Yarrowia lipolytica: one gene and its partners. The protein of the gene in region 3 purifies or fractionates together with the protein of the main gene of each other region. This does not show direct contact. Links are inferred from orthologs where the notes say so. Each region holds a gene or a part of one and is shown on either strand. Other genes may lie near its edges.

What was found.
Region 1: the proteins of YALI1_D15523g (region 3) and YALI1_E30958g purify together in Saccharomyces cerevisiae (affinity purification with western blotting; 3 studies listed by BioGRID, with this or other methods). This does not show direct contact. The link is inferred for Yarrowia lipolytica from reciprocal best matches to the Saccharomyces cerevisiae genes UFD2 and VMS1.
Region 2: the proteins of YALI1_D15523g (region 3) and YALI1_E16174g purify together in Saccharomyces cerevisiae (affinity purification with mass spectrometry; 3 studies listed by BioGRID, with this or other methods). This does not show direct contact. The link is inferred for Yarrowia lipolytica from reciprocal best matches to the Saccharomyces cerevisiae genes UFD2 and NPL4.

What each region holds. Positions count from the first base shown.
Region 1 is NC_090774.1:3,094,308-3,098,059, forward strand, and holds YALI1_E30958g (uncharacterized protein), read left to right. Parts: upstream 1-1,563; coding exon 1,564-3,384; downstream 3,385-3,752. Other genes in the region: YALI1_E30943g (uncharacterized protein), read left to right, coding at 1-1,117. UniProt on the Saccharomyces cerevisiae protein: Endonuclease that cleaves polypeptidyl-tRNAs downstream of the ribosome-associated quality control (RQC) pathway to release incompletely synthesized polypeptides for degradation.
Region 2 is NC_090774.1:1,615,955-1,619,660, reverse strand, and holds YALI1_E16174g (uncharacterized protein), read right to left. Parts: upstream 2,272-3,706; coding exon 529-2,271; downstream 1-528. Other genes in the region: YALI1_E16194g (uncharacterized protein), read left to right, coding at 112-152, 196-355; YALI1_E16164g (uncharacterized protein), read left to right, coding at 3,208-3,706. UniProt on the Saccharomyces cerevisiae protein: Substrate-recruiting cofactor of the CDC48-NPL4-UFD1 segregase. Assists CDC48 in the dislocation of misfolded, polyubiquitinated ERAD substrates that are subsequently delivered to the proteasome for degradation.
Region 3 is NC_090773.1:1,551,463-1,555,214, forward strand, and holds the start of YALI1_D15523g (uncharacterized protein), read left to right. Parts: upstream 1-851; coding exon 852-869; intron 870-925; coding exon 926-3,752. UniProt on the Saccharomyces cerevisiae protein: E4 ubiquitin chain-elongation enzyme specifically involved in polyubiquitin chain assembly.

The DNA of each region.
Region 1 (3,752 bases), on a different chromosome or scaffold from region 3:
GCTTCATTTTTTCATGCACCAACTTTATCGCAAAAAAATGGAACTTAAAATTCCTAGTCTGAAAAATCAGTTTTATATCCGGCTACACAAACAACTACACAACTTCGTTGCCATGACGGAAAATCGCATCAGACAAGTCTTCAGGGAACGCAAAGAACAGGGCAAAACAGTGACCGTGGCAGGACCTATGGTTCGGTACTCAAAACTGCCGTTCAGAGCTCTGGTACGCCATTTCGACTGTGATGTGGTATACTCACCCATGATGCTGGCTCGGGAATTCTGTCGAAACCAGACAGCCCGGCTCTGCGACTTCACAACCAACAAAGACGATTTCCCGCTTATCGTGCAACTTGGAGGCAACAACGCGGAAGATATGGTCAAGGCTGTCAAGATGCTGCAACCGTATGTGGACGGAGTAGGAATCAACTGTGGATGTCCTATCAAGGAGCAGATCCGAGAGGGAGTTGGAGCAGCGCTGATGACGGCTCCCGATCTGGTTGCAGAGATGGTGGCTGCTATTCGTAAGGAATGTGGTGCTGAAATATACGTGGAGGTGAAGATGCGGATTCACAAGGACCTGAATGACACGGTGCACTTTGCCAAGCTTGTGGAGGCTGCTGGAGCTGATTCTATCAGCGTGCATGGCCGGCTGGTTCCACAAAGAAGCAGAACGGCCCCTAACTACGACGGAATCAAGATTGTCAAAGATTCTGTCGACGTTCCTGTCATCGCCAACGGAGACGCATTTACAACTACTAACATCGAGGAGATTGTCGAGCTGACGGGCTGCGACGGAGTCATGGCTGCGCGAGGCATTCTCAGCAACCCAGCAATGTTTGCAGGATACACAAAGACGCCCTGGAGAGCAGTGGAGCTATTCTGGGACTACGTCACAGCTTATGGACTTCCATATGCTCTTACGATCCACCACTTTTCGGAAATGTTGGAGGCAGAGCTAACGAGGTACGAGAAGAAGGACCTCAACAACTGTAAGAACATGGTGGAGCTGATCAACTGGTTTGATGACCGGTTTGACCTCAAGCGACCTGGAGATGAGGACTTTGCTATCAGAGACGAGTATCCCTGGAAGAACAGAACAAGTTTTGTATATAACTAGAGGTGGGAATGGTGCATAATAGATTGATAGAATACTACAACTACTGTATGTACTGTACTCGTACTATATACTGTAGGTGCCGGTACTACACATCCGAACTATTCGGATGTAATTTTTATCACGACGTGCCTATAATTTAATCTACATTGGTCGTAAACGGATGATTTAAGAAGAATGGACTGATAATAGCACAAAACCAACTTGTGAAGTAACACTTTTCGAGCCAATATTTTCACATATCTATTTTCACCCTATTAATCCTTAGTAATCTGAATGTTCCAGATGGATTTTAGCGTGCATGTCAGAAGCGGCAATGATTCATCCTTCCAACAAGTGCGTCATCAACCCACTTTGATCCAGTGACTATAAAGGGCTTGATCGGCAACAGAAACGACCCATTAAAACACACACATTCACTCTAATCGACGCATAATTCATCTATCAAAATGGCAAAAGCAAAGCAAGCACCTACGGCATACTTTCTGTACGACCTGCCTGAGTCTATTCTCAAGTCTCTCAAGGTGTATGATTTCAACGGAGTACTGCGATCTGAAGAGACGGAAGTTAAGCCATCGAGCCAGTTTTCTGCTGAAGAAAAGGCCTTCCATCGATACAATCACAAACTGCGTCTTCAGGGCTTGGCAGCTATTCGAAAACCAGAGTACGATCAACTGCTTAAAGATGGACTGACTGACACACAAAAAGACGACGATTCAGACAGCAACAGCAACAGCAACAGCAACAGCAACAGCAACAGCGAGGAGGATACAGAATCGGACAGTGACGAAGAGTTTGGACTGCCTCGAAAAATGGAACTGGCGTCGATCTCGGAAGCTGGAGATGGAGAAACGGCAAAAGACGAACTCAAGGGAAGCCCTGTCATCTTCCTCAAGAGCCCCGAAGTTGAACCTAAGACACTGACGGTCTACAAGAATGCACTGGGCCACGTATCACCCACTGAGTCGGGTATTCTTGGGGAGATTCAGCGGGTGAATACTCTTCCGGAGGCTACTTCTGTGATCATCATGGCTGGAGGAGGACATTTTGCTGCAGCGATCTTTCAACACTCGCCGAAAATCAAAAACACAATGGTTCCCCTAATTCTGGAAACCAAATCATTTCACAGATACACCACTCGTCGAAGCCAGGGAGGTTCCCAGAGTGCTTCTGATGGTTCAAAGGGTAAGGCCAAGTCTGTGGGTTCCTCTCTGCGACGATATGGAGAGAGCCAGTTGCAGATGGAGGTGAAGGAGTTGCTGACTTCTCCCGAGTGGAAGAAGCGTCTGTTACCTGGCCTTCCTACGTCTGCCGCTAACATTTACATTCGAGCCAGTGGAAAGGGCAGTCGTGGTCTTGTTCTTGGGTTCGAGGGATGTCCTATTCCCAAAAATGATTCCCGAGTCAAGAGTATCCCCTTCAACACCCGTCGAGCAAACTACACCGAGGTTCTGCGGTCCTGGACGGAACTGTCCACTGTCAAGGTTGTGGATGTGAGCAAAGAGGAAGAGGAGGCAGAAAAGACACGTGAAAAGGAGGCCGAGAAGGCTCGGAAGGAGCAGTCGCGTCTTGCAGCGGCTGAAGCCAAGAAGCAGAAGCAGCAGCAGTCCCAACCTACCACCGTACCACTCACTCCTCTCATGAAACAGACTTCTGAGATCACTGAGTTGATTCGAAAGAGTCGGGCTCCTAAGCTCATTTCGTACCTCAAACTGCAAAAGCTCAAGTCGCCCTACCAGCTGGAGTTCCCCGAAGGAGATAAGACAGGCACATTGTGTCCTACTGCTCTGCATTACGCCGCTAAAGAGGGTAGCGCTTACATTGTGAGTGTCTTGTTGAAGCAGCTAGGGGCCGATCCTACCGTTACCAACTCGTTTGGAAAGACTGCTTGGGATCTGGTTTCGGATAGTAAGACCCGGGACACTTTCCAGCTGGCAAGAGGAGCTCTTGGAGAAGACAAGTGGGACTGGAAAGCCAGTCATGTTGGAGAAGCTCTTACCGATGAGCAGATTGAACAGCGAGACAAAAAGGAGGCTGCTGAACACGACCAAAAGGTCAAACAGTCCATTGCCCAGCAGGAGGAGGAGCAGAAGGAAAAGGAGTCCAGCAAGAGATACGAAAAGATTGTCGCCAAGAGTGGACTGGGAAAGAGACTGCCTCAGATGGCCACCAAGCTGGAGGACACTAGAGGTCTTTCTGATGAAGCAAAGATGAGACTCGAGCGAGAGAGACGAGCTCGAGCTGCCGAAGCACGGTTTGCAAAAAAATAAGGCTAAATAGAATCACTGTAGACACTAGCGTGCTAATATATATTCTCATGAATGCTGAACAGAGACTGCTTGTAGCCTTGTGACGGATAACAGAAAGCAAGAGTGGGGAACAATGAGTGTATTGAGTGAATGGGCTATAAATACGACATACAGTAAGTACAAAATAGTTGTGTAGTGAAACATGTTCGTACTACGAAAAATTCAAAAAATAACGCTTGGTATTCCCTAACGATATGATCATGCGGAGGATCGAACTCCGAGCCTCCCCGGTGTGAGCGGGACGTGATAACCATTACACCACACGACCTGGCTATTACTTTTAAGGACCAACTATCTTACTAAGGGCTGTGTAATGATTAGTCATAAAT
Region 2 (3,706 bases), on a different chromosome or scaffold from region 3:
ATACCAGAATGGCGAGGGGCAACGGCGGAAAAGGGCTGTACCAACTTGGATTTCGCCAATTGGCCTCGATTATCGCGATTTCGTACATTTATTCAACACAAGAAAGATGAGATGATATGTTCCATCCAAACTGCTGCACGTGGCTATAGAAGGTGCGGGAACATTCTCCTCCTACAGAAACAATGGCAACCATAGATTATTGTTCAGTACCCGCACGGTGCCACTTTTACTGCCGTACCTGTTTGGCAACAACATGTGCTCTCGTCATACTGTAGTTGCTATGATTCGACAGTTGCAATATGGCTCTCAACGGACTACAAAAATGGTATTTCGAGCGATAAAGTTGACGTCATGATCAGACATCCAAGACATCATTACTGTATGCTGCTAGACTTGCAATTTACTCGCCGCTAAGGATCGGACTTTGATTGTACAGTAGCTACAAGTAGTGCATGATACTTGGACTCGTACTGTACGACACAAGTCGGCATGATAGAAATTGTAATGCACCCATTATATACTCGTCCATCACTGGATGATCAACAGTAGATTGTTCCAGCCCTCACTGGCAACCAACCGACTCACGTCCTCATCCTTCTTTTCCGTAGCCACCTTGGCCAACAACTGGAACTCCTCAGCAGATAGCACACCCATGGACTGAATGTAGCTCAGCAGATGGAAGTTGGAAACAGCTCCTCCAGCAGACCCAGAGTCCAGAGCCTTTCCTAGTGCCTGGGGGCTCTGGGTCACTCCAATCAGCTCTCGGTTCTCCACAGGGAAAGACGACAGGCCGGATGAGAACAAAGGCCTGGGGTCCTGGGGGAAGCCATGGGTCAGTGTAACCAACATGTAGTCTACAGGAAGCTGTGGGTTGGCTCCCTGGAGCACCGTCCGTCCGTACTCGTTGTTCTTCTTGTAAAACACGTCGGGAACATATCGTGTCTTTGTAGCTTCCTTGACCAGCAGCACCGACGGGTTGATGCTGGGCTCGATGAGATCTGCGCGGGCCATAGCCTCACACTGCTCAGACACCTGGTAGCACGATACATCAATCTCGCCCTTGGGGTTACCGGAAATCACGGCAGTGACAAACTTGGACGAAAATTCAGACGTTGGTGACCACCGCGACTTGTTGGGGAAACGTGCCTGCATGGCTCCAGCGAATGCCACCTCCAGAGACGACAAAAAGTACGAATCCGCGTGTCGTTTGCAGATGACAGAACCATCTCCATTGCCAGCATCAACCAGATCGGTGAAAATGACGCCCAGAGGCACCAGTCCACACGCCTCGGCAGTGGCAATATGAGGAGGTTGAGGCTGACCGTCTGCCTGGGTAATTTCAGTAATGGTGATACCGTCATACTCACCACTCTGGGCAGGCTCATAGATTGCCTCAACAACAGCCTTGATGCCGAGAGGCACAAGTTCGTAGGGTTCGTAGTGGCCGTACATCCAGCCGATACGCTGTGTTCCGGACTGACGCCAGGGCTCAATAAAGCTGTTGATCATACCTGACTCTGCAAACTCCACATGATCAACCATTCGAAAAGGCTGTGATTGCAGAGTAATAGCCGAGGGCTGGCATCGGGAACAGATTCCTTCGGGCCAGGGAGCATGGGCTCCTGTACAGCTCTTGGACACTCCGAAATCCGACACATTCAGGGGGGCAATGTATCCGCCTCCATTCTTCTTGTTCGCCTGCGAATTGAGCTTTTTGACGTAGGCATGGTAGCTCATATGCTTAATCTTCTGCTCCTTGAGATACTCCTCGTCCCAGGGGTCGACTGGAAGAGTGTCTTCGCCCATACCTCTGGATCCAAACTTTCGCTGCTGGAGTGCTGATAGCTGTCGCTTGATCTTTCCATCTTGTTTCTCGAGATAGTCATCGACAGGCAATTGTTTGGTGGCGTCTCGAATGTGTGCCGCGGTCATTTGGGGAGCGGTTTCGGCCGTCACAGCCTCCACAGCAGCTCGTGGGGCCGAGTCTGTGTAGCTGACAAACAGCATATCACCATGATTAAGCCCCAGCTTCTGGACGGTTTTACCCAGAAGACGAGAGGCCGGTTCCTGCTTGCCTGTGGGTGACGTGGCAAGGGTGATTGTGGCGGGATCGATGTCTGGCAGGTCTTCAGTGAGCTTCTTGAACGCCACATCGAAGAGATCTGTGGGCTGGGCCTCCGCTCGAAGAGTGCCCTTTTTGGACCGGAATCGCAGGATCTGAGTTAGTCTGGGCACAATTCCACAGCTGTTTGTGTCTGCAGTACTCACCATTCTCGAAAGTAGTGGTTGATAGAGATGATGTTGAGATGGAGCTTCCTGTTGCCACTGGGACAAGCATATCCGAGTGAGGATTTAGAGTTTGTTAAAGATATTTGGCTCTACTTGGAGAATCAATAAAATAAAAAACAAAACAGTATATATAAAAAAAGTAGCTGGATGGCGACAGACAGTGTGACGTCTGTAGTATCGTACCAAGAGGTCAAGATATTGCCTCAATATGTATTACAGTGGTGAAGGAGAGTATTTCGGGTCTTTAAACATTCGGAAACGCCGTTTGAAGGTGTCCTAGTTTGGGGCTGATGATCATGTACAAGTTTCATACAGTATAATTAGCAGCCTAAATGATAATACTACTGTAAGCGCGGGCATAATGGCGGATGGCATGTGTACAGCCAATGAAAAGGATGCTTGAACGGTCGGTTCAGAAATTGGTGGCCACAAACACAAATTCGTGTACTCGTACTCATATTTGTAGCCACAACTAGACTCTAAACACTTCACTCGGCTTACCTAATACCATCCCACATTGGCATGTTCTAATTAAATCTCAAGTATCATTATGTAGCAAAGCCAAGTAACTACATAAACTCTAGAACCTCTTCGACTGTCGTCTAAAACTACCCCAAAATAGCCCAAATCTGGTTCTGGAAAAAAAGCAACGATATCCTCGGGACGCGTATACAACCATTAAAAAACAATTGCAACCAAAAAAACATCCACGTGACCACACTCTGTCGTCCTCTCCAGCCTCGTCTATGCAACGCGCGTAGCTGATTATACTACACCTTCTTTCTCCAGTGCAAATAGAGTTATTCATAGGTGGCCGAAGCGAAGAGAGTCTAACAAGAACGAGACACACGTAACGTTACCTCTGTTAACACCACACACACACACACACACACACAACAGACCGACAAAAGACCGACAATGGAAAGCAGCAGCGGCGTTTCCATCTACACGCCCTTCATCTACTTTGCCGTGCTTGTGACGGCGCTGGCCGTGTTTGGCAAGATCTACCGATCCCGGCAGGCGGTCAACCTGGCAGGAGTCGAACCGTGGTACCCCGATCACATTCCCCGAGACATCTACTTCACTCTGCGGGACCACACGTCGCCCCGTCCATCCGAAAAGGTGCTCAAGGCCGCTCTTCTACGACGGTCGGCGGAAAACATCAAGCGAATCATCAAAACCAAGGAGGCCAAGCCCCATCTGACTGCTCTTCACGAGGCGGGATCCATTGGAGATGATCTGCTGCATCAGTTCACCGCGTGGGAGAAGATGATCGAAATGGAGCTCAACGACTGTGCCGCTGAGGCCAACACATACGCCGAAAACTGGGCCCAAACCATGTTTGCTACTGCGTCGGAGATCATCCAGAACGAGGGTCTGCGAAGACGAGTCAACGAGCTCAACGAGAAGGAGAAGG
Region 3 (3,752 bases):
CTGTACATACTTGTATCAGTACAAGTCATTGGGAGAACAATATATACAGGATGATTCTATAAGAACTACATGTAGTGTTGCACCACAAGAGCGTAGAAGTTACGACATGTTGAAAAATGTTCCGGATCTAAAATCAATTATCGAGTCCCACACTCAGGGTATACGTTATAGATTGTTTTTTTGCAAAACTATTATATTCTCCAAGTACAGTATATACATTAGGGAGGCGGCCTGCTGCTGCTGTTCTTACCACTGAGTCCCTGTGCATAGAGTTAAGGTCCCGGATAAGCTGGTTTGGTGAAATATTGAGGACCCTTGCATTCATGTGCGAGAATCTATTGTATTATATTTATTGTATGTACTGTACAGCCGATACGAGTGGACCACGAGCTGGCTATTTTACTGTATGTGCATTCTGGGCACCCATAGCGTAGAGTACCGGTATTTCTTCAGCTCATAGCAAGGCTTTCCGCCAAGGGCTTTCTCAGTTCCATCAAGGTTGTAAATTAGTACAGAAAGTACTTGAGAAGTGCCAATAACTACTTAGTTCTTACAGTAGTAGTACACTCGTGGTACTTCGGCCTGATGAGAAGAAGCTCGTACGAAATCGGTAAACACGGTGGCAAAAAAACGACCGAAAAACATAGGTGCGTTCAATTGAAGGTGACACCAGTGTACTAAATCGCTCGAGTTAGGCCCCGTGGAGCTTCTATTCGCTGCTGTCTCTAACTCCACAGTATTCGTGCTTGGAGATTACCTAATATCGCACGCCAGACATGTCCCAACTGCACCCTACAGTACTAACTTTCAGATTGAGACAAGTGTGGCAATTCATCATCTGGATCAACACCATGTCATCAGCAGAAGAAGTGAGTGAAAAAGAAATGGAGAACGATGAACCGAAAGTACAGCCGTGCTAACACAGATTCGTCTCAAGCGTCTAGCTCGTCTAGGAGGAGGAGCTTCCAGTCCCTCTCCTGGTCCTTCCGAGTCCAGGAAGGCAGAGGGGACACCTAAGGAGGAGGTGAAGAAGGAGGTGAAGGAGGTGAAGGAAGTGAAGAAGGATGAGCCCAAAAGCACACCTGCGATCAAACCCAAGATCAAGATTGTGCCCAAGGCCGCTGCTTCTGCCGCCACAGGCACATCGACCCCAAAATCCGCTGCACCACGACCAGCTCCAGCTCCCTCGGCTTCGCTGACCGTGCCGTTCCAGCAGTACGAGCAGGACGCAATTGAAAGCATTCTGCGAATCACAGTGCGAGACAAGCAGCGATGCACGCAACTTGCATCGGTCAAGGAGGAACTGGAGTCGGAAAACAAGCCCGTGGCGCTCTCCAGAGACAATCTCGAAGATGCGCTCTTCAGCCACCTCACAGGATCCAAGGCAGTCTTCAACTATCTCATGGAGAGCTTTCTGCGGGCCAAGAAAGACTTGGCAGTGCTCAACAAGGCTGGCACGGACGCTGTCGATGTAGAGCCCAAGAAAGAGCTGGTCAGAAATATTATGGAAATGACCACCCGATATGGACTGCTGTTTGTGTCTGTTCCAGACATGTACGAGCAGGCCCAAGGCATTATGGAGGTGCTGAAACTGTCACAGAACGGCTCATTGTCGTGGGAGTTCGTGGACGAGATCTTCTCACGTGCCCAGACCGACGGAGACATGGGCTCTGTTGCGGGCAAGATTCTGCAGGACGTCAACGGGCTGATTCTCAGCGCCAATCAGGACGCCTCCCAGTCGGCCACCGCTGCTCTCTACTTTGTGTCGCACCTGTTCAGCAACAAGCTGTTTGCTTCTGCTGTGCCCGAAATTGAAGGCTTTGTCGAAAGTGGCACCAACGACGAAAAACCCGCAGACATTGAGAAGAACCCCCATGGTCTCGGCCCCGTTTTTGCCATTTCTCCTTTGCATGGTTCTACCGCTCTCACCTTCTTCCCCATCGGTACTCCTGAGCAAATGATGGATCCCCGTGGCAACGCCGCCAACGGAGTGCGAGCCGAGTCGCGAATCGTGCAGGACCAGCTGTTCCAGATTGTCGACAAGATTGTGCGGGCGTCTCCACAGGCACGAGACTGTATTCTGCAGTACTTTGGCCGCGTGCTCAAGTGCAACCACAGAAGACGAGCCACTCGACTGCAAGAAGGCACCACATCTTCTGACGGCTTTCTGCTCAACATATTTTTTGTGTTGCTCAAACTGGCAGACCCGTTTGTCGATAACGCCTGTTCCAAGATTGACAAGATTGACATTGACTACTACAGCCGAACCAAAAACGCGGTAATTGACATTTCCGAGGAGACCAAGATCCACGCCGACTCCACCGAGGCCGCAGAGTACTACGGAGACGAAAAGAATGCCGATAAGAAAGACCTGGCTCCTAACTTCATTTCCCATGTGTTTTTCCTCACCGCCGGATACCTATACTACGGTTTTGGAGGTGCCCAGCAGCAGGTGACACGTCTCAAGGAGCACCATGACCAGGTTAGAGACTACCTTGACAACTCGCGGATCCAGTATGCCAATGTTCCCGAGGCTCAACGGGGAGCAGTGAACATGCAGCTACAGAAGGTGGAGAAGATGGTGGGTTCTTTGGCGGCCCAGCGAGCAGCCATTCTGGCCGTCATCTCCGAGCAGGACGTGTGTGTCCAGGTGCTGCAGTTTGCTATTTTCCAAATGCATTATCTCATCCGAGTTCTGGACCCCTCTCACACTTATCCCCTGGGTGGCGAAGTTACTCTGCCCCTGTACACTGGAGAGAACACGGGACCTATTGCTTACCTCCCCGAGTACCTAATCGAGGGTCCTGTTGGCATTGTAAACGTCATGTGTCGTCACAACACCATTCTGGCCATGTTGTCTCCCTTGGTGGACGTTTCTGCTCTCGTCACCTTTGGAGTGGTCTTTCTGCGACACTCGGACGTGATCAAGAACCCACATCAGAAGAGCAAGATTGTAGAGATGTTGTTTTGCGGCACCCAGCCCATCTACAACCAGAATGATGGCTTCTTGGTGTCTACATTCAACTCGCAGAAACTGGCACTGGAGTCGCTTATGCATTCGCTCATGAACATCTATATCGAGTTTGAGCAGACTGGAGCACATACTCAGTTCTACGACAAGTTTAACATTCGGTACTATGTGTCGCAGATCATCGAGTCTATCTGGAACAATGTCAACTATCAGAAGCGGCTGGAAAAGGAATCCCATGACAACATTGACTTCTTTGTGCGGTTTGTGGCGCTGCTGCTCAACGATGTCACCTATCTCATGGATGAGTCGGTCAGCAGTCTCACGGAGATTCGGCAGATTGAGGCGGAACTGGCTGCCATGACCGAGGAAGAGAAGAACTCCACTCACGCCCAGGAGCTGCAGAAGAAGTTCAAGACAGCCGAGCGCAACATCAAGGGGTGGATGCCTCTCACCAACAAGAACATGAAGCTTCTTGATTTGTTCACCCAGGCTGTCCCCAAGTCGTTTGTATCGCCCGAAATCGTCGACCGACTAGCTGCCATGATGAACCACAACCTCAAGGCGCTGGTTGGCCCTCGATGTCGTGATCTCAAGGTCAAAAACATGCTAAAGTACGGCTTCGACCCCAAGGATCTGCTGGTCAAGCTTTCCAAGGCTTACTACAACCTGCACAAGCAGGACGCGTTTATCCAGGCTGTGGCTCGAGACGGCCGATCGTTTGACCCGGCAAACTTCACACGTGCTATTGAGCTCATCTCGCGTTTCAACCTTATGCCTAGAG